Linked DNA regions of Tamandua tetradactyla. The protein of the gene in region 1 interacts with the protein of each later gene in a pairwise test. Links are inferred from orthologs where the notes say so. Each region holds a gene or a part of one and is shown in the gene's direction. Other genes may lie near its edges.

Region 1 (7,182 bases):
CAATTAGCCACTGGCTATACTTAACTCATCCATACACTTACAATTATTAGTTTGTATGTGTTGACTCTCTAGATTCCTCAGGCCACAGAAACTCTTTTTTTTTTTTTTTCCTGCACAGGCAGGTACCAGGAAATGAACCCGGGTCTCTGGCATGGCAGGTTAGAGCTCTGCCTGCTGAGCCACCGTGGCCTGTCCTACAAACTTTTTAATGTTCACCTTATCTTATGGCACATAATAGGCTTTAAACAAATGCCTGTTGAATAAATGAATGAAAGAAAGCTCACCGAACAGGACTTGGAGCCTCACAGATGTAAGTATAAAGGCCAACACTATCAGCCACCATACCTGGGGAGAGTTCTTCTCTTTGATCCTATTTCCTTCCTATAAAATGTGTAAACACCACCTCTCTTGTAGCACTATTATAAAGATTAGAGATAATGTAAAATTTCAACCTCATTCCATGGCCTAAAACTAGTATTCAATCAATGACAGCTTAATTTTTGTTACTTCCTATCTTTTTACTATTTTCCTTAATTTGAACTAAGTGGGACTCTTTATACATATTATTCATTAAACACATCATCTTTCAGTCTTAACTGATTAGCTGAATATTTTATTTCCCTGTAAACATAAGCAATAGTAGACCATTTATTTGAAAAATATACTGGGTTAACCACTCTTAGAGCAGCTAGTCTATTCTAAAGGAATACAGTCCCCAGGTCCTGTTCTTCTTGTTTTTATGTTAGACTTCTGTGTCATAAATCATATTTTTAATAAGCATTACAAAAGCAACACTTCTGGATTACTTAAGTGAGGCTTAACAAATTCTTTCCAAAGGAGTGTTCCAGATATCAGAAAAGAAAAGAGTATTTCAGGAGCCTGCTGTTCTAAACATAAAAGAAAAAAAGCCAAATATCTTCTGAATATTTTCTAGGTAACCTGGGATAATGTTCCAACGATGGGAGTTTCTAAAAATGGTAAGACTGACTAGCCACAGGCAGAGAAGTAAAAAACATAACTTATATGCCCTTTGGAGGCACTGCTGCTTTTCTATTTCCTACCCCTTCTTACCCATTAACCTCCCATAATTTGTTTACCTTCGGATTTGACGTAGTAGAGAGAACATGGGCTCTAGTTCTGGTATGTCCCTAACTAAGTAAGTTACTTCTCTCTAAGCCACATTTCCCTTCAAATAAAAAGTCAGGCTAGATTCTCTCCAGAGGCTTTTAGAATTAGAGAACTCTAAGGCTTTGATTTCTTTGCCCTACTAGTTTATCTGTCTTCTGATATCCTATCACCACTAGGCCCTGCTAGATGATACTTAAAGCCATCAACTCAGAACAAACCATAACTTACCAGCGGTATTGCAACGTCCTCATAGGGCAGCTTGTCTTCTCGCCAAGCATCATCAATCAAATCCAAGATCCTTCCATCTCTCTGTACCTCACTGTCCATTCTCCTGTAGTTCTGATCTTGTCAGATCTGTAAGTTATAAAGGTAATTTCTTTAATGTGGAGATTTAGGAGATGGGGTATTCTACTATTAGGATTTTGGTACCACACTGCCCTGGGAAAGGCTTACCTTCTCATCTGGGTTAGATGACAATTTTTTATAAAACCAGTACCCACTCTCAACCTTCACCCTCAGCTGATGGATGCTTTATAGTGTATACTGGATATATGTAGCCCAGTTAAGGACTAGTTTCATAGTGTGGCAGGAGGGTGACATAACTGAGAGTATCATCTTCAAGGCCACAGTACATCTAAATGTAATTTCTCTCTCCTAATTTGCACATTCACCTTTCCTGTGATGCCTTTGATGAATCTCTGACTTATAACAGTCTCTTCTCCAGCCTCTCAAGGTTTTTGCACCAAATTTACAAAAGTCTCCATCTGCCTTGGTTCTAATCTCTTGGGCAACACAGGGAAGTAAGACAGCAACGATGAACAATGCAAATTAACTAACCATAGGCGTGACACAAATCCTCAAAGCAAGAAAGATGTCAGCAGTTGAGCTTATAAATGAAACTGCCTCCTTTCTTAAAAACAGAGTCCAGGCTGAGCCCTGAAAGGAGCACCTCCAGGTGAACACCAGTGGCCGGACTCCATGCTGCTCTTTGGGATTCCTTCCCAATTCTTTCTGTTCTCTTTTCAATGCTCCTTAAACATAGCTGCTTCCCCATCTTTTTCTCCCTAACAGCTGCAATCTAATTCAAAGGACTGGCCAGCTCAATAGGTACCTCTGGGCTCCCTTTTTCCAAGTTTAGGTCCTGTCTCCTCACCACAGACACCATTCTACTGTGCTCAGTGTTACAAAGGGGCCATCTTGAAGGCCTGGGGGCCACTGGCTTGGGAACTACTCTGCGACACTCCCAACTTCTGAGGCTATAGATACTCAAACAAGAAACAATCTTTGGGGATAGAATTCAGTTCCTTCACACAGACTTGTGCTTGGCCCTAAAAGTAAGACTACAAGACAGCCCTAATACCTGGATAGTAATTACAGCAGTTGGGGAGGGAGAAGGGTCAAAAGGTGACAGATACTTCTGTCAACAGTGGGCCACCTGAAGGATCTTCCTATTTCACTCAAGAATTAATCCAGTACTACAGGGTGGATAACACAAAACAAGTTGAAAGATCCTGCCTTTAGGATACGTACACACAAGGGCCCCTCGCCCCCAGTTTCAGTTATACTTGTGGAATCCCTGTCCTCCAAGAGCTGCTGCCACTCCACTGTCCTCTTTGCTCTGCTCACTGGAATACCCTCCTCACTCTTCTCCACAGATTCAAAGCTGCTTATTTTCCCGCAACTACACAAATTCCACGTTTTTAGTTTTCTCAAATCACCTCAGTTTCAGTAAGCTTTCTGTCCATATGAGCCACAAAACAAGTTAGGCAGATCAACTCAAATGTTATTGTTTCCAATTATTATATGTACATTTTGTACTAATCACTCCTTAGCACACCTTCTTCAATTTGGCCTCAAACTTTTTTTGACCTGTCTCTGCTCCAAATACCTCCAATCACGCCCCACTGAGACTCTGCCTTAAAGTTGTTTTTTTTTTTTTTTTTTTTTTAACCCCATCACAAACCCTTACTTTTCCTTCCAAATTCAGCTGAGAAGCAGCTCTTTGGATTCAACACAGTTTTAAGGCTGGGAGGACCTCATCCGTATGGTGCTGGGAGAATGGGAAGAATCCAGGACACGGCCACAGTCCCAAGCACCCGCCGCACGTGACAGAAGGAACCACAGGTAGCTTCTAGAACAAATTTCTTTTACTGATATCTTTGTGCCTAGCCACGTGACAATCCCAGAGCCTGGAATGCTCTTTCCTTTTCCTTCCTTCCGGCTAACCCCCAATCAGCCACAAAAACTCAGCATTCCCAAATTGCGGCCTGAGAGCGCCACCCGCCTGCCCACAGGCCCGCTGGGGACAGTGAATAGCTTCAGGCGGGAAGCTTGTCACATTAAGTGCCTATTATATGCGTCTTCCCACACACGTGGTTCGCGCGTCCCCCGAGACAAAGACAGATTTCATTCATTTCTGCCGTTTACAGAACCGTAATGATGTATTCATACGACTAAAGGCGGGAAGGGACTTTGCCTTGTCTAGAAATGACCCTCACAGGCCACCACCACCCGTACCGGCGTGTGGCCGTCCTATAGCCGCGGTTTCCGGCCTAGGCTGGCTATACCAAATGTGGAGATGAGGGGTGGTGCATGTCCTGGGCGGCCACGCAGGCTCCTTTTCACCCGACACAGCGTGCGATAAGGGCAGTGACAACGAGGAAGAAGTGAGGACGTAGCCCTCGGCCGCTGCAGGGTAGGGAGTGGGAGTAGCCAAGACCTGGGCGAGGAGGGCGGGTTACCCTTACCGGTACCGGGTTCGCCGCGGCACCCGTTTCCGCCACGCCACCACCACTGCATCACGTGTTCCATCCGGTCTTCTCTCGCAGATTTCCGGATGTGGGTGAGTCCATTTGCTTGCGCAGAGGGGAAATCAGGAGGACTTTTCAATGAATAGTCAGGGGCCAGTGGGCGGAACGAACGTGCCGACGACAGAGGCAGGACGTAAGGTTGGGGGTGACGCGCGTGCGCGCTTCTGGCCCGAGGTAACGGCGGGAAGGCTCGGGGCGCGCTCGGGGCGCGCTCGCGGCGGCCGCGTAACCGCCTGTGCGCGCGAACTAGTGGGCAGGGTTCGGGCGTCTTGGCGTACAGAGCCCTGGCCTGGTGGTGCCTCGGGCCGTGCGGCCGCATGGCCGGGGAGTGGCTCTCGGAGCGGCCTGCCGGCCAGCAAGCCCACCCTCGCCGGCCCAGGTCCGCTCTCGCAGCCCCCTCGTCGGCCTCGTTACGAGCGCCCTGCGGATCCGCGAGGGCGAACATGGCACCCTCCCGGCGCGCAGGCTAGGCCCGCCTGTTGGTCAGCCCTTCCCGCGAGGCCGGGGGCCGGGGGCGGTGGGCGAGCCGCTCCCCGGTCCCTGTCTTCCCTGCTGGGCCGCCCGCGCGCCCTTTTGTCCTTCTTAGGGGGAAGCACGCACAACAGACCTTGCAGGCCCGAGTATTTGGTTAGAGCTGCCTAACCTTTGTTGTGACTCATTTACCGGAGGTGTTACCGGTTCATTTGTGGCGGGATATTTAGTAACAATTTATAAGTGTTATATTAGCAAAGTAGGTACGGGAATGTGGCAGAAATCGTGAAGGACTGAAGTGGGAAACCTAGAACTAACGGTTGCTCCATGCATGGAGTTAAAAATGGGAACTAAATGATAAAGATAGTGGGTTTAAAAAGGACGTTTCCTTAAAAACACTTTGTGACAATATTGGAAGACAGTACATTTAGGCTCATCATGTGGCTTTTCTATATGCTTACAATATCAGCCTGATGATAGACTACTCTTAATTTATAGAGCACTTATTTGTACTGGGTAGTAGTTCCCGACGCTTTTTGCATCCGATTCCCTAAACCATTCAACAAATTTTATTTTATTCCTTTAATTAAAGGTTAATGTTTTTAACCTTTAATGTAGGGTAGCTGTGCACACTAGCATCTGTTTTATAAGATATGAAGGGGAAATAAGGATCAACTACACATGACTTTAAAATATTTTGCATTTACATTTATAAATAGGTGTAGCTTAAGGATATAATAAAGAGTATGCATTTTCTTAATTTGGAATGTGGTGCGATCTTTTAGAGTAATTTTTATCCTGAATTTTCTGCGATTATCCTGAAAAGGGGGTTGATTTTTTTATATTACTCTCAGTTCCGTTTGTGTCTCAAACATGATTGCTCCTTGCCTTTTGATTATATTGTTATCAGTAATAGGTATGGTAAAAATGGCTGTGAAACAAAATTAGGTCAGAGAGTTATAAACATTCAATCACACCACCCTTTAAAATGTCTGATTAAAATTTAAAAAATTTAAAAATACAATTGTAATAATTGTGTATGTTAATTGTACCAATTCTATTTTCTTCCTATGAAGAGGTAGAAGGTCTTTGCTTAGTCCTTTCCATTCTCATTTGTGTTGTGGAAGTGGTGGCAGTTATCAGTAGGCCACTCTATCAAGAATTCATTCTAATTTTGAAGTTCTGCTAAAGTCTTCATTAACTTAAGGTTTCAGGAATTGAATTTCTGATTTTTATGTTTAAGTTATTTTTTTCTCTAAGAGCTAGGATTTCTTGTTTTTCAGTTTTTCAAAACAGTCATATCACACCTACAAAATCAATAAAAATTCCGTAATACCAATATACTGTCATGTCACATATCCCCAACTGTCCCATAAATGTGTTTTTACGTTTAGTGTGTTCGGATTAAAATCCTGTGAAGATCAAAGTGTTGCATTTGGTTGATATACCTACTTGCACCTTTAAAAAATACGTATCTTTTGAGTCTCTTTTGTAATCTGTAGCAGTTCCCTCTCCTCCCTTTTGCCTGGTCATTCCAGATCTGCGTCCATATGATATCCTTTAACATGGACATTTATTCCCTTTATTTCCTCTAAACTGGTAGTTAGATCTAGAATTGCCCTGTCCAGTGTGATGGTCACTAACCAGCTTAGAAGAAGATTACATTAAAAGTTCAGTTCATTAGCCACATTTCAAGTACACAATAGTAAGATATAAAACATTTCCATAATTGCAGAAAATTCTTTTGAACAGCACCGATCTAGAGGCTTGATCAGATTCATCTTTGATTTTTTTTGGGTGGAGCACAAGAATATTTCATATATGGTTTAGTGTATTTCCTGTTTAGTGCTATTTTCATGCAGGCACACAGTGTCAGAGTTGTCCTATTTGTGATGTAAAGATTGATCATTGGGTTCTGGTGTTGTCAGCCAGACCCATTCATCCAGCATGAACCTCGCCTTGAGTCACCCAGTGATGAAGTTCTCTTGGATTCAGATTGTCTGTACCCATTATTGTATTAGGGACTGCAAAATGTTGGTTTTCTAATTCTATCATTCCTTCTATATTTATTAGCTGGAAAACTTTTATGAAGAACTTTCTCTCATCAGCTATTTGATTATCCTGAATTACAGTTTGTTCAGGAAAGGCAAGAAAAATGCTAAATTTTTTCCCTCTATTTTCAGACTACAGTAATGAGTCGATGCCCTAGCGACCTCCAAAGGTAACCATGAAGGTTTTTGCTAATTTTTTTTGCTATCATCCTCATGAACTCATAGATTTAAGTATATATAAACTCTTTCAATCTATTGAAATCATTATTCTTTTTGATACTCAAATTGTCCTACCTTTGGCCAGTTGGAGCCTCTTTAAGTTGGCTCCTATTCCTCTAGAGGATTCCAGTGGTCTTTGATAATTTCCTTGCTTTCTGGTGCAATAGGTTCCTGGTTCATTTTATACATTTTTGGCCTCCAAAGAGCCCTGTTCCTTTTATTGGGAGATGGTATTTAGAGACCACACAGTCTGGGTGCCAGAGGTGCTTTTGCTGTTAGGTTGGTTTTGGGTTCTAGGATTTACAGTCATTGGAGCTAAGAAATACATTTTTTAAAAGGAAATATAGAATCCATACTAATATTTCCAATGTAAATTTGATTTTACTGTTGTTTTTTCGACTTTGTTTTTTATGAGTTTGATTTAGTATTTGCATTTTTTTCTCTTTTGTTGAAAATCTTGGTACCTAAATTTCGTTAATTTTAATTGCCTTATCCTACATTAT
Region 2 (7,525 bases), on another chromosome or scaffold:
AGACAACAGTCTTGTTATGTACACTAAGAATATCTGAAGGATTTGTGTTTTTAAATTGTTCAAACTGTAATATATATGGATAGAAAATATATTTGTGAATAAGTGAAGTATTGTTGCAAAGTTTTTAAAAAAACTTATTAATTTGTTTAATAAGGTATTTTTATTTTAAGACCTTAAATAATAAACACCTGTTTTAAAACATCAGAAATTCATAGGTTATCAATTTTTTTCTAGCAGAAAAACTAGTTGAGTACAACTCGCCATTCTATTTTCCAGCTAAAGTATCATCTAAGGGCTAAAGTTAAGTCAGCATTCTAATACAGCCTTCTCTTTCTTAGTTTCATTTCAACCAGAAAAATAATGTAAGTTTTAACGAGAAGAAAATTATGTTAAATAACCCTTAACATATTACAGGGATATAAAATTTTAAATTTTCTTTCAATGACTTCAGACTCCTTTAAGCCTGACTTATTATCTTTAGTAAATATGAAATGATTTGTGTTGTCAAAGATATGTTAAGAGCTTATTCTTGCCTAAGTATTTGACTTAAAATACATTCTATACACACAACTGTTTTCATTCAGTATTCGTTAAATGCTACTAACTTTATTAAAGGTTTAAAAAATGCAATCATAAAACCTATTGTACTAAAGTTACTATACTAAGCAACAGTAATTGTAATAAAGCAGTATGTCTAGTGTAATCTTCATGCAGTGTTAAAAATTTAGAACTGGACATCATGAATGTAACCGCTTATTATAGTAATTCCACTATGCAGCTATTGTGTGTATAACAGGTACATTTAACAATACTTGAGTTTATAACAACGTTTTGTTTGCTTTGAGACATTTTAAATTGGAATATGAATTTGCCAAAGTAAATTATACCACTAAGATAAAAAAAATTAAACTTGAATTCTAAAGCTGCATTGTATTTGAGTTTCATACACTTCTTTTAATTCAAAAATATCTCTGGGACCGCAGTGGCTCAGCAGGCAGAGTTCTTGCTTGCCATGCCAGAGACCGGGTCGATTTCCAGTGCCTGCCCATTCAAAAGAAAACACAAAGTAAGTATCTCTGCATGTCTAAGCAAAACAAAGAATCAATTGCTTCAATATGGTTAGCTCATTTGAGTACAAAAGAAAAATTCCATCATAGTAGATAATGGTTTTTACACAAGAATGATATATTGGTACTTCAGCCTAAAAAAAATCAAAGAAATCCCATGGTCCTGGAGAAAATATAACAACAGCATACTATTTGCAAAGTGTGTACTATGCTCTAGGCACATGCTCAGTGGGCTCAAACATAATCTCTGATCCTCAAAACAGTCCCATGAGGCACATATTATCCTCATTTTATAAGTGAATAGAAATTAATATTCTTCCATCTCGCTAAAATATTTCAAATGCACACTTCCATAACAAAATATAATAAGGAGTTAATTTCGATTACTAACATTGTAAAATTCTAGCCCAGGTTCTAGAGGGCTAGGTTAACTACAGTTACTAGTTAGCCATATAAGCAAGAGGGAATCACTCTAAGTTCCCCAGACCTCAATTTGTATACCCGAAAACAAAGGAAAAGGTGATACCTGATAATAATTCCTACCCTGCCCACATCACAGAGTTGTCTGAAATAATACACATATGAAAATATTTTGTAAAGCACTACTCAAATATACAATACTATGTGGATGAAAATTGTCTTTGGGAGTAAAGAATTTGTGAGGACAATTATAGCTGGCAATGATAAGTAACATAGATAAAGACAGTAGTTCTAATTCTTCAATTGTTGACAGGAAATGTTCTTTTCCAGTGAATTAAACTTCTTCCATGACACTTTTTAAAATACAAAAATGTTCTCTAAAGTAAAAAAAAAAACTAAATTAATTTGAAAGTTTCAAATAGAAATAAGTATGGCACCTGGACCAAAGTTAAACTTTGTTAACTAATATGTATATACAAATTACTGATATTATTAACACATGAAATCAAAGGAATCTCTGTACACAAGGCAGAATTTGGCTCTATGTTAACAAGTTATGGCCAGCAGGTTCACAAAGATTTCCAATATTCATGGACATACTAAAAATAAACATTTCAAAATAAGGCATATGTGCAAATCAGGACAAGTCCTTTCCAATGTTCCCACACTCTTAAATTATAAACCAGGAGTCAGCAAACCTTTTCTGTGAAAGGACAGTAAATATTTTAGGCTTTGCGGGCCATGCAGTCCCTGTAGGAACCATGCAACTCTGCCTTGGTAGCCCAAATGAGCCACAGACGATATGGAAATGAATAGGCATGGTTATGTCCCAATAAAACAATTTACAAAAATAGGATGCAGCCCGGATTGGCCTGCAGCTGTAGTCTGTTGAACCCGATCCTAGATTCTCAATAAGATCAACAGATATTTGTGGATTATCTGTGGTTAAGAGACCCCGACCCCAGATTTCCCAGGACTAGCACCATTCCATTTTCAAATATTTTCATCTCTTTCCAATCATGTATCAAAAATCATGCCCCAAATCAAGGTATTGAGGGGATAAGGAAAGTTGTAAAAGCATACCACATTTTTTGTCAAATTCTATAGAACATTGTGAATTACTCTGTCCTTGAAAGCTACAGGGCTTCAACATTTCACAATTACTTCCAGCGATAGAAAACAAATTCCTGTGACTCCTGCTTTCACAGAAACGGCTGAGAAAATGAGCAAATTCCACCATTTGCCTATAACAATGGTGGACTTATTAGTGCCTATAAAAGTCAGTGTTAAGTACAGTCCACCTTGCTGGATATTTCACTCTTCAGCCTTAATTTCTTCAAGACTAGGAAAATATTTTTTTCTATTATCTTTTGTTGCCTATTTCTTCTTTTCTTAACTTTGTAAATCTTCAAGAGAGAAAGAACTAAAGGGGGAAAAACTGAATAGCTATTCATGTATTCATTTCACAAATATTGGCACCTATATTTACCCCACACAGTTCCAGATATCAGAGTTTAGCAATGAACAAAATTAGTCAGATAGATGTCTCTACCCTTGATCAAGGAGATTTCATTCCAACGGAAGGACAAAAACAACAACAAAAATAACTACATAAAAATACAGTATATTGGGCAGTGATAGGTACTGTAGAAAAAAATTAAGCACAGATGATAAATAAGGAGTAGGGGGGTGGGGGAACAAGTCGCAATTTTAAATAGGTCAGTTTGAGCAAAGACCAGGAGGTAAGAAAGTGATCAGTCAATGTCACTGCTCTACCCAGATACCCTCCTTTTTCTTCCCACCATTTTTGTGCCACCGTTCTCACACTACAGTGCGCTTTGTTTCTAACATCCAGCATCTGCAATTTTTCTTCAGAGGCCTGCTTAGAGATAATACAATTGAACATCTGTCCCAGCATTATACCTGCCCAATCCCCTGACTATAATCCTAAAGGCAGTGAAGAAACCAGGCGGAGTTGCTGGTCAAGGCCAGAGAAACAAGACATTGGGATGGGCTTCATGTGTCTCAGAATACTCCTTTACATGTCTCTGATGCTTTTACATTAAAAAATCAATTTATATATATTATCTCAAGCACCACTCAGGCTGCTTGTTATCTATCCTTCCAGGCCCTCACCTTTAAGCCTTCCTTTCAATACATCTTCAATTTCACTGATCTTTAGTCACTAACATAAAATTATTAGAGGTGGAAGAATTGCACAGTTTCATGAGTCCCTGGCTTTGCAGCCTTCCAGAGATGCCCGGTCCCTGCCAGCACACCCAGTGTGGATTCTGAGAGCAGAGCAAGAATTCATACACTCTTAATGGCAACACTGTTTTCAAAGTAATTACAGATAAGGAAGGATCCCATCTGTTCCTTCTTCCTCCACAGTGGCCACAACATCAGCAAAAATAGATATTTATATTCACAAGGAAGGGGCTATTCACGCCACATGGTAAGCCAATTTACTCATTATTTAGTGAAAAGAGCCCTGGACTAGATTAGAAATCTGCCTGAGTATATGTTTACTGAGTATCTAATAATAGTTCAAGATGATTGATGCAGACGCCTGGACCTTTGCTTTCAATGCCCTCGTAATGCGCTGGAGTTAAATACAAACTGATAAAAAAAAAAAAAAAAAAAAGAAGAAGAAGAAGAAAAGAAAAAGTCAGGTGGACGATTACAATAAAATTATCATCAAATAATGATAAGCTTTTAATCTTATAATTTTTTTTATCTTTCTCTGTGCCATGGGTGCACAGAAAAAGGATTACTGGGGAGAAAGTTTCAGTAGGGCATCACAAAGTGACCTGTGAGCCGCATCCGGAAGGATAAATGAGGTTAAAACTTAAAGTGGCGACAATAGTTCCCGGCTGAGTGAACCGAATTAACCAAGACAGGTTGAGGCAGTTACTAGTGGCAACGGGGACACTGCGCGGCTTACCGCGTCCGGGCCTTGCCTCGGGGAACTGTGGCACTTACACCATAAAAGCGCTTGGATAACTGAAAAACTCCATACTGCTTTTCATCAAGGATAATGCCAGGCTGTTAAAGTAGAAAGCCGTGCGAGGCGCCTGTGAGAAGGAAAATTCTGTGAACCCAGTCCTTCCCGCCTCCACCCTCGGCGTGCTAAGATGCACAGCTCCTGCCCAGAGAGAAGGAAGAGGACCCGGGCGGAGGGTGGGGGAGGAACACGGGGGCGGGGACGGACGCGGCCCCAGCCAGGCGCGGCCCACTTGGCAACGGTGGTTCCGGGGTCTCACGCCTTAGCGCGATTCCCGCTGTCTTCGAAGCGTGGCTGCTGAGGCCACGTCCCCCACCTCCCTGTGGCACAGCTTTGCAGCTCCCGCCGCGTCACCTGTCGCCGAAGCCGCTTCTGTTCCTCCCGACCGCGAAATCCCGGCCTATCCCGTGGTCGGGCAAACTTCTCCCTCTCCGTCGTGACGAATCGGCGCCTAGCCGAGAAAATACCGAAATTCGTGAGTTTTGAGGAACTAATGCGGCCTGAAAAAAAATTCTTGATGGCACTAAGTATCCCCGCGCCCTCACCATTAGGATTACTTTTCTAAGGAGAGTCGGGGGAAAGCTGGAGAGAAATTAAGAAAAGTGTCGAAAGTGCGAGTGCGGAAGCTCCGGACGCGAGGGGCGGGGCGTGCGTGGGACAAAGGGAAGCCTAGCCGGAGCTGCGGGCGCTCCTTCTGCCCGCGGGTGAGTGTTTCAAACTGGGCCTGACCGGGTCGGGAGGGTGACAAGTCTCTGTCTCTCCGCCTGGCTGCACCCTGAGTTCTCAGGGCTTGCTGGGGTTTCAGGCTTGGCTGAGGGGCTAGGGCTGGGGACCGATTCTGTGCTCTTTGAGGCCTAGCGAAGCGAAGATGGGAGTTCCGTCTGGGGCTTTTCCTCGGCGGTGAAATTTGCCCCGTCCACTCCTCCTCACAACAGGTCCAAGCGTCAGAGCGTACCCACCGCTCCCCGCCACCATCCCCCACCCCCGCCTTAGTTATGTTGCTGGTGAAGTGCATCCTTCCCGACAGACTTAAAGGAAATTATCTCAGAGGAAGCCCTCGGGGCAAGCCAAGCCCGTACTCTACCCCCAGAAAGGTGGTCCTCATTGGTTCAGGCAGCAATATGAGGAGGACCCACTGTGTGACTTGGAGCGAAGAGCAAAAGCTGTGAAACAGTCTGGCCTGGGTTTGAAACCTACCTCTGGCACCTACTGGCTGGGTGGCTTTAGACAAGTTACGTCAAGTCGCTGAGCCTTCCTTTTTTACATCTGTAAAATAGGGATAGCAGTACACGTCTTGTATACTGCGACTGTTGAACGAGATGGTCTGATATAGGTAATAAGTCTGTCCCGTATAAGGTATTCATTCTGAAATGCTTAGTATCTGTCATGGGCCAGGCACGGGGTGAATCTAGTGGTGGACAGATGTACAACCCTACTGCTAGAACTTATAGTCTAGCAAGAGAGATCAGCGATTTTAAAGTATTAACAATGAAGTGGAGTTTGTGGAGTTATCATCAGGGCTTCTCACAGCAAGGCCTACTGGGTATTGACAGCTCCCTGAATGAGAGCAGGAAGAAAATTTGCACCAGAGTCGGTGGTTTCAACCTGTCTTTTCTTTTTAAGGGAAGGAAGAACAGACTCAGGTTGGGCCATTGAATGTTTATCTTTCTATATGCTAGGCCTCTTATTTTTTATACCCCAGGAGATTCCCCTAAAATGCACACTAGGACCAAACATGTTTGTTGCACCTAATGTTGGATGAAAGTGTCCAGTGGTCATAGAAGTTGATTTGCCTTTTTTCTAAAAATGAATGTTTCTTCATACTACGTTATTGGTGATGTATGTTGATGTAAGAAACAAGCTCATGTGAGTATGGTCATATGAGCTGGCAATACTAGGGCAAAACTTATGAAGAATTTTGCCAAGTATTCTGCATATAATACGCACACCATCCATGTTGGCAGGTAAAAAATATATATATATGATAAATAAACAATTGGTAGATATTTGCAAACTGGAAAGGAATTCAGACAAGGGAGCAATTAATTCTGCCCAGATCTTTCATCAAGAAAGCTCCATTGAGGAGATAAATTTTGAAATGGGTTGTGAGGGATAAAGAAGGGTTTTCAGGTAGATTCTCAAAATTTATTCCCAGTTATGAAGATATTTACCTTTATTAGAGAATGTTAAGGCTCATTATTGTACCAGTTACCTTCTGCACTGCCTCCAGGAATAAACTGCTGTGCTACTTTAATGAAAGTTATCTTAAAAGCAAAAGTATAACCTGCTGATCAGGAGAATTGTCAGTATCCAGTGGGCCCTGATAGTTCATCACATTCTGTTGTCATTATCTTTTTATCAATCTGATTAAATGTTTACATGGCAACAGTAAAATGTTTTCCATACAAACGCTGGCTCTATCATAAGAACAGACCTGAAAGTATATGTCTAACATTACTTTTAATATCCTCAGTAATTTTTCTTAGTCATTTAATTCTGATCAACCAAGTGTCCTACAAGAATGCGTAAAATATGAAAAAATCTTGATTACTTGAAGATAATTTAAAGTAATTTTACTCAAAGATACCAATTAAACAACCCTATTCTTTAGGAGAACATTCTCTTATGCTTGCTGAGTTTTGATTCTCTTTTTTTTTCTTTTTTTTTTCTTTTTTTTTATTTTAGTGTCTCATATTCATTCTTAAGGAACTGAGAACTTAATCTTCCAAAATGTCAAGTAAGTTTCATTTTTATATTTATCAATCTATGTTAATAAGAGACTAATGCCCTAGCAAGTGGGAATTCCAAAATACTCTCATTTTTTTTTCCTTCAAAACAGGACCATTGGTAGTTTTGTTGCATAGTATTATATCTCAGTTGTTTACAAGAAGTTATTTATTTTCTTTCAAACAGAAAGACCATCTTATGCCCCACCTCCCACCCCAGCTCCTGCAACAGTAAGTTTTAATTTTCTTGTTAATGTAATAGCCAAGTCTGGCCTTGATACAAAAACCCAGATGTCTTCCAGTGACAG
Region 3 (7,402 bases), on another chromosome or scaffold:
CCCTTTTTCCATAGCTGAGACCAGAAGCCAACAGGTACGCATTTTGTCTGTTGCCTTTGCCCCACACCCCACCCAAAGCCAATAATTGATACTGGCCACATCCAATTAACAAGGCATGTCTGGGCCCAGCCCCCTTAAAGCTTGTGCTTGTGCTATAGCTTGTTTGGACTTTTCAAAAGCAGCCTTCTGTGGGGTATCTAATTCCCCAAACCTTCCTTGCAAACCAGAGTATACAAATGTTTTAAAATTTGTGGCAAATGAAATATAAATGGTCTTCAACATCCCAATAAACCAAGAAAAGCCATTAACTGCTTAACAGTGTATGGAGTGGGGTAGTTCTGTACTTTTTCAACAGCAGCAGAATAGTTTTATTCTTACCTGACCAGGCAATACCCAAAAATTTGACAGAGCATCTGGGTCCCTGTAGCTTATTTCAACTTACCACCCATTCCCAGCTTTCAAAGTGGGTCACCACTAGGTTAGCAGAGGTTTCTAGTTATGAAAAAGAGTTAATGGTTTGCATAACATCATTCATGTAATGGAAAAAAGTTATATTTTCAGGGGATTTCCATGTTTTCAGGTCTTGAGCAACTAAACCATGACAAATAGTAGGACTATGAAAATACCCTTGGGGCAACACAATAAATGTCCACTGTTGTCCTTCCCACATGAAGGCAAATGCAAATGGCTGGAGAGACCTAAAGAGGCACTGAAGAAGGTATTAACAAGGGTTAATACAAAATGAAATTGGCCTGAGTACTTACAACCTTTAACAAAATACCAATGTTTGGCACACCTGCAAATAAAGGAGGAACTACTGTATTTAGTTGTCTATAGTCATTTATCATTCACCAAATTCCATCAGGTTTCTTTACTGGCCAGATAGGGCAATTAAAATGGCTGTGAGTAGAAATGATAGTACCCACTCTTTGTAATTTCTTAATAGTGGCAGTGATTTCTTGATGGCCCCTGGGCAACTTACACTAATGCAGTGCCACAGTGCTTCTGGGGGAAGGTACTTTCACCTGTGACTACTTAACATATCTTCTCAGGATGTTTGGACCACTCTGTACCTGTTTTAGTTTGTTAAAACTGCCAGAATCAATATTCCAAAACCAGAATGGTTTTTTAAAAAGGGAATTTATTAAGTTGCAAATTTACAGTTCTAAGGTCATGAAAGTGTCCAAATCAAGGCACCAACAAGAGGTTACATTCAGTCAAGAAAGGCTGATGCCATCTGGAACACCTCTGTCAGCTGGGAAGGCACATAGCAACGTCTGCTAGTTTTCTCTTTTGGCTTCTCATTTCATAAGGATTCCTCAGGGGTGTTTTCCTTCTGCATCTTCAAAGGTTTGGCTGTGTGGATTCTCTTGGCTCTGAAACTTCTTCCAAAATGGTTCCCTCTTAATGGTCTCCAGTAAGTGTCTCCACCTTGAATGGGTGGCAATGCATCTCCATGGGAACCACCTAATCAAAAGGTACCACCCACAACTGGGTGGGTCACATCTCCAGGGAAACATTAAAAAAGATCCCACCCAGCAATACTGAATGAGGATTAAAGAACATGGCTTTTCTGGGAGTACATAATAGCTTTAAACCAGTACAGCACCAGAGGCAGAATTCACTTATGGTACTTTGCAAGATAATATTTTGCTAGATATCAATTACTAATATATATACTCTTGGATAGGAGATATATGTATACCATATATGTTTGAGGTGGTAATTGGCCAGCTTGCATTAATAATTGCTGCTGAGTTGCTTCAATGCCTTCGCCCATGTATCCAGCAATGGTTAGTGTAGGGCTCCCAGTTTGTGGCCGTTGCCCATATATTAAGGTACATTCCACTTCATTGTCTACTAAGCCCAAAACTCTATGCTCATTAGTGGGGGAGTCATTTCTATATGTGGCCTCTGATCCCCAGTGTCCCCATATATTTTTCTTGGGGATCTTGACCTATCTCCTATGCAAGGGGGAAGGGGGCCTTCCAGACCTCCTGGGTCAGGGGGCGGAGGGTTCTTTAGGTGGTGTTGGCTGAGTCTTTGAGCCAGAATCCATGTTCTCCTCTAGTGACCTGGTTTCAAGCTTAGTAAACCTCTGCTCCTTGGACCACTTGCTCCACAGTCCAACTGATACTCCATTTGGCTGCCCATCAATATCCTCAATTTAGTTTCAGCATCTATTAGGTATGTCTACATTTGTCTGTTTGACACCTGGTTCAGACCATCATGTCCCCTTGGGATTTGACCCATAGCTCTGACTTGAGCTCCCCTCTGCCTTAGGCGATCTGTCTCTCCCAAGTGTGCAATCATTTGGGTAGCCTGTGAGATGGGCTGTCCTATAAGTGGGCACCAAAGTCCCCTATCACTATTGGGATCAGTATGTAGAATTGTCTTGTTAATTCCTGTAGCATAAATTACACTCTCTGGTCCAATGGCACCCAGCATTTAAATTGCATGTTTCATCCCAAGCTCCCTTAATACATCGTGTAGTTCATCAGTGGTGTTCCAGTGGGGGTTGCAATGGGGCAGATCCCCCTCAATGGGCCACACCTTCTGTACTGTAATATAAGCCAATTAAATAGCAAATTTGTTTCCATTTTGGGGGCAAATGAATACATGCATCGACACAGAGAAAGATAGGTGGTGAGAGAGGACAATTTACTCATCTCATGCCCAGAGAGCAGTAAACCATAGGCACCAGTGTCCCACAATTGCAGTTTCCAATTTGATAAAAGTTCTTTAGGTTTTTGTCTATACTAAGTCCCAATCTCTTGTAATTCAGAGCTGGTAGAATCTTGCACTGTAACATGTATTTTTTTGCTGGCCCAGATGGGTTCTGACTTAACCTTATGTAACTTCTTCCTCCTTACCCTAGTGCAACAATATGCTAATATTTCCAATTTTCATCTGCTTGGCATAGCCTCTCATTTAAAGCATCTTTCCTCTCCACTTGGACCACCCTCCCATCCATGTCTAATTTAGGTTCCTATTCTAGGGGGTGACTACCCCTCCGCTGTCAAGGCCTCTTCCATAGCTGTTTGCATGGCCTCCAAGAACAGCCAGGCCACAGCTGCAGCAGCCCAGCAGCTTTCCTTTTTCTTATGAAATCCCAACTGTACTGTGGCCTGTTACAGCAGGATTTTTAGTCCAGCTGGGGAGTTACAAGCACCTCCATACTTCTTCCGCGACTCCCATTCATCCAGAACAGTACGCACCTGCCTCCACATGCCTGTTGCAGGCCATCCTGGGAAGTCTCTTTTCCCAGTACTTCTGCCTTTCATCTTGCAGCTTTTTGGTTTCCTGGCTGGCTCGCCAAATATTCAAACCCAACTCCACATCAAGACCAAAGAACACACTAGACAAAGAGTTACCAATGAATTTTAATTAGGGACTTAGAAGATTTTTCCCCATGAGCACATCAGTGACCTGCACAAACAAGAGGAAGGGAGCAATTTACAAAGTCCAGCTGAGTCTGGCTGAAATTTAGTTACCTAGGGGTGTCAGCAGTCTCCGGAGAGCTGGTTACCTACAGCGCTTAGGGAACGGGAGTTTTAATGCTTTCACAATACATTCTTCACCCTTTCAGGGGTGGGTCTGTTGACCTTTAATGTCTGTGCTCTGGTCAAGCTGGTTACTACTCAAGGCTTCATTTCTTACTAGCTTGCCACCCCCCAGACCCCATCCGCGCGGAGCCTGGCGGGGAAGATCGGACAGTGTCCGCGCGCCTGTCCGGGAGCCCCAGGAACGCCCTTCCCCGGGGCCGGCCGCCCAACGGGCAACAATCTCTCCCCCACCCCAGCTGCCTGAACCCTCCCTCGCGCGCGCCGTCCCCCTTGGCCCCGCACCCCTTCCCGCCGCGGGACCACCTCGCCCCGCCGCGCCCCTGCCCTCCGCCTAGCGCCCTCCGGGACTGCCCATCTCCCCTTCTCCTCCTCCCTCCACCCTCCTCCACGCCTCCGCCTCCCTTCCCGCCCCCTCCACGCTCCCTCCCTCACCTTGCCCCACCCCGGCTCGTCGCTGCCCCCTCCCACCTCACCCCTCGCCCGCTCCCATCGCCCTGCCCCTCTCCGCCTCTTCCCGACGCGTCCCGGGTCGCCACCTGCCCTGTTCTCTCCTCTGCCGGCGACCGCTCTTCTCCGGCCGCCTCCACCTCTTCTCTCGCTGCCCCCGGACCGCCCCTTCCTGGCGCGCTCAGCCCCTTTCCCGCTTTCCCCGCCCCCACAGGCCGGGCCCCGCCTTCCCAGGGGCGGGGCGCGGGGGAGCCAGGCGTCGCGGCGGCTGAGTGGGGCGCGCCTGCGGGCGTGGTGGGCCGAGCCGGGACCCGCCATTGGCAGAGGCTGCATTCCCCGGCCGTCAATCACGTCGTCCGGCCTGTCCCCGCCTCCGCCGGGCAGCGTCGCGGGACGTAGCGTGCCGCGGGGGCTGCCGGGACAGCTCTAAGATGGCCGAGATCCTCCGTTCTCCCTCAGCTTGCGACCCAGTGCCCCATTCATTACCTCACTGCTGAAAGGCGCCCCGCCGCCGCGAGCCGGGCCCAGGGCTCCGGGGGCTGCCCCGCGGGACGGGAGGCCGCCATGGCGACCCTGGAAAAGCTGATGAAGGCTTTCGAGTCCCTCAAGTCCTTCCAGCAGCAGCAGCAGCAGCAGCAGCCGCCGCCGCCGCCGCCGCCGCCGCTGCCGCCCCAGCCTCCTCAGCCGCCGCCGCTCCAGCCGCCACCGCAGCCGCAGCCGCCGCCGCTGCCGCCCAGCTCGGCGGTGGCTGAGGAACCGCTGCACCGACCGTGAGTGTCGGGGCCCGGAGCGGCGGGCCTGCCGCTGCCTCCCCTCCCGGGGCGGGACCTCCCGGTGACAGCCTGGGGGCAGCAGCATCTGTGTCGCCGGCCAACCCCTGACCCCGCCGCGACGGTGGTGGCGGCGCAGCCTTGTCCCCGAGCCCGGGCGCGTAACTCCCGGGAGAGAGAAACTCGCGCTTTCCTGATGGGAGAGCCGAGTCCGGGCCTCGGGTTAGCATGTTCTGTCCCCTCCGGGTCCCCCCGCTGGGCTCTCCGTCATTCTGGGAAGGGAGGTAGCGGTTTCTTGGGGCTCCTCCCGAATTCACCGAGGGGGCCAAGGCCCCAGTCCTCTCGCCTTGTCCCAGATGCCAAGAGTTAGGGAATGAAATAGTTTTTCTTTGCGCGAAACGGGGAGGGGGGGTTGCGCGGCTGTGTTTTGATGGTGGGAATTTAGAAGAGCGCAGGTTGCGACCCTTTTGGCTTCCTCCCTTCTCTCTTCTGACTTTGAGAGGAGGAGGGCTGTGGGTGCAGGCGTTCGAGAAGAGCCAGGACTTGGAGCTGGGGGTGATGCGGGGATAGTGGATGACATAATGCTGTTATGGGCCGGAGTGGTTGGGGGAAGGCGGGGGACTGAGGACGTCGTCCAATGGGAGAGCCTTTTTCAAAGTGGTGCTCGAGAGAGCCCGACTTGAGTCTCTGTTCCCAAATTCCCAAGACATTTCATTTAGTTCCTGAGTCCTAGTGGTAGCGACGTGGTTTAAAGCGTCACTGAACAGGCCTGCTAATCTAAGCTCAGGTGTGGGTCTGCAGACATTTGATTAAACTGTGGTTGCCAAGTAAGTGATGAGGTAATTAGATGATGGTTATTAACAAATGAGAAATAATAAAGTTGATTTAAATATTAAGAAAAGTTGGCTGAAGTTTATCACCTGTTTTCTGTTGGCAATAAAGAGGACACGTTGCTGAGGGTGGGTGAATGAGGTGTACATTTCGCTGGTATTGTCCTCAGGCTTGTAGAACCTGGGGTGTCTGTAGACTCCAGGGATGTCTTTTGCAAGCCGGTGAAAGAGCTTCCTTGATGACAGGCTTGTGTTATCTGTAAGCCAGGGATCTCTGCTGCTTGTGTGTGGGGAGAATTTTTGAACCAGAAGAAGAGAAACACCTTCTAAGAAAACCCAGGAAGTCTTTCTGCTCTTAGCGATTAACAGAGGTTAGGGAGCACCCTTCAGGCATTTTATTTCTTACCTGAATGTGTACACATGATGGCATTTAATAGGTACAGTTTTCAAGACGCAGCCCCTTAAAGAACCTCATTGATTCATTTTTAGTAAAGTTTTCTTGCACTTTCTGTTTCTGATATGATCCCTTCTGTGTCCTGAGAGTTTCATTAGAAACTGAGGAAATAGGATGGACAGGAATATTTACTTATTCCTTCTTCTGAAGAGTGAAAACTTGTTTGGGTATCTAAGGAAACTTTTAAACAGTTTGCCTTATCACTGTAGCAGGTAATTTATAACCAAATCCATTTCCATCTTTTATTTTATTGCTTCTCTAGGAGGTAGGTATCATGGAAATTTGTACTTTGCTTGTATCGGGAAACACTAAGCAGGGTTGGGGTTGGGAAGGAAGTCCTTCCTGCTGTCCTCTGGTGTCTTGTTCGAACACTGGGTCAAACTAAAAGTATGCCTTCTGTTTTGTACACTGATTTGACATAGCCTGAATTTGCTTATTTTCAAAATATGGGTATCAAGTGGTATCCTTCTAAAGCTGGCCGTCAAAGTAGGTAGTTTCATTATTTTAAGGTAATACCTGATTGGTTCATTTAAAATTGATTCATTTAATCTGTTATTTTTGCACAGGTAATATATTAATACAATAAAAATTTCAAAATTACTAAAGAGTAATGATTGAAATGCTTTTCTCCTACCCCTTTCTCTTAAGTACCTCACATGACCCCACACACAAGCACTGTTCCACTTTCTTGTGTGACCTTCTATGTGTAAATTAAGATAGACTTTAAATTCTTCAAAACAAAAGTATTTTAGAATAGTAACCTTTTTTCTTCACTTCTATTATTTCGGTTACATTTTAAAAACATTTTTAAATTGTGAAATATAACATATATGCAAAAAAGTAATAAATTACAAAGTGCATTGTAACAGGTAGTTATAGAATAGACTTTAAAGTTTGGTATGGGTTACAGTTCCATAATATCAGCATTTTCCTCCTAGCTGCTCCAAGGCATTGGAAACTAAAAGAAATATCAATATAATGATTCAGCAATCATACTCATTTGTTTAATTCTATCTTCTCTGTTATACTCCATCTTCTCCTTTGATCCTTCTCCCAATTTAGGGTATTTGGGCTATCCCCATTCTAACTTTTTCATGTGGAAAGGGGTGTTGACAGTATGGAATAGGGAGATGAAACTAGCTCATGTTCTTGGAGAGGCTGGCTCCTCTGGACCTATCTGGCCTAGGAACCCTCTGGAGGTTGTAGGTTTCTGGAAAGTAATCTTAGTGCATGAAACTTTTGTAGAATCTCAGATAGAACCCTAGGTGTTCTTTAGGATTAACAGGGGTGGTTTTGGTTGGGGGTTGGCAAACCATGACAATTAGCAATATCTAG

Evidence for each region. The genes of interacting proteins can lie anywhere in the genome.
Region 2: the proteins of CEP63 (region 1) and SMARCE1 interact in binary tests that used the Homo sapiens proteins (3 or more experiments, as listed by UniProt). The two-hybrid records come from large-scale screens. The link is inferred for Tamandua tetradactyla from reciprocal best matches to the Homo sapiens genes CEP63 and SMARCE1.
Region 3: the proteins of CEP63 (region 1) and HTT interact in binary tests that used the Homo sapiens proteins (3 or more experiments, as listed by UniProt). The link is inferred for Tamandua tetradactyla from reciprocal best matches to the Homo sapiens genes CEP63 and HTT.

What each region holds. Positions count from the first base shown.
Region 1 is NC_135341.1:78,281,887-78,289,068, forward strand, and holds the start of CEP63 (centrosomal protein of 63 kDa), read left to right. Parts: upstream 1-4,171; 5' UTR 4,172-4,255; coding exon 4,256-4,317; intron 4,318-4,542; exon of another isoform or gene 4,543-4,565; intron 4,566-6,592; exon of another isoform or gene 6,593-6,601; coding exon of another isoform or gene 6,602-6,630; intron 6,631-7,182. Other genes in the region: ANAPC13 (anaphase-promoting complex subunit 13), read right to left, coding at 1,357-1,455. UniProt on the Homo sapiens protein: Required for normal spindle assembly.
Region 2 is NC_135332.1:26,726,381-26,733,905, forward strand, and holds the start of SMARCE1 (SWI/SNF-related matrix-associated actin-dependent regulator of chromatin subfamily E member 1), read left to right. Parts: upstream 1-4,504; 5' UTR 4,505-4,966; exon of another isoform or gene 4,967-5,057; 5' UTR 5,058-5,195; intron 5,196-5,220; exon of another isoform or gene 5,221-5,468; intron 5,469-7,176; 5' UTR 7,177-7,221; coding exon 7,222-7,228; intron 7,229-7,404; coding exon 7,405-7,448; intron 7,449-7,525. UniProt on the Homo sapiens protein: Involved in transcriptional activation and repression of select genes by chromatin remodeling (alteration of DNA-nucleosome topology).
Region 3 is NC_135345.1:3,103,035-3,110,436, forward strand, and holds the start of HTT (huntingtin), read left to right. Parts: upstream 1-4,381; 5' UTR 4,382-4,577; coding exon 4,578-4,783; intron 4,784-7,402.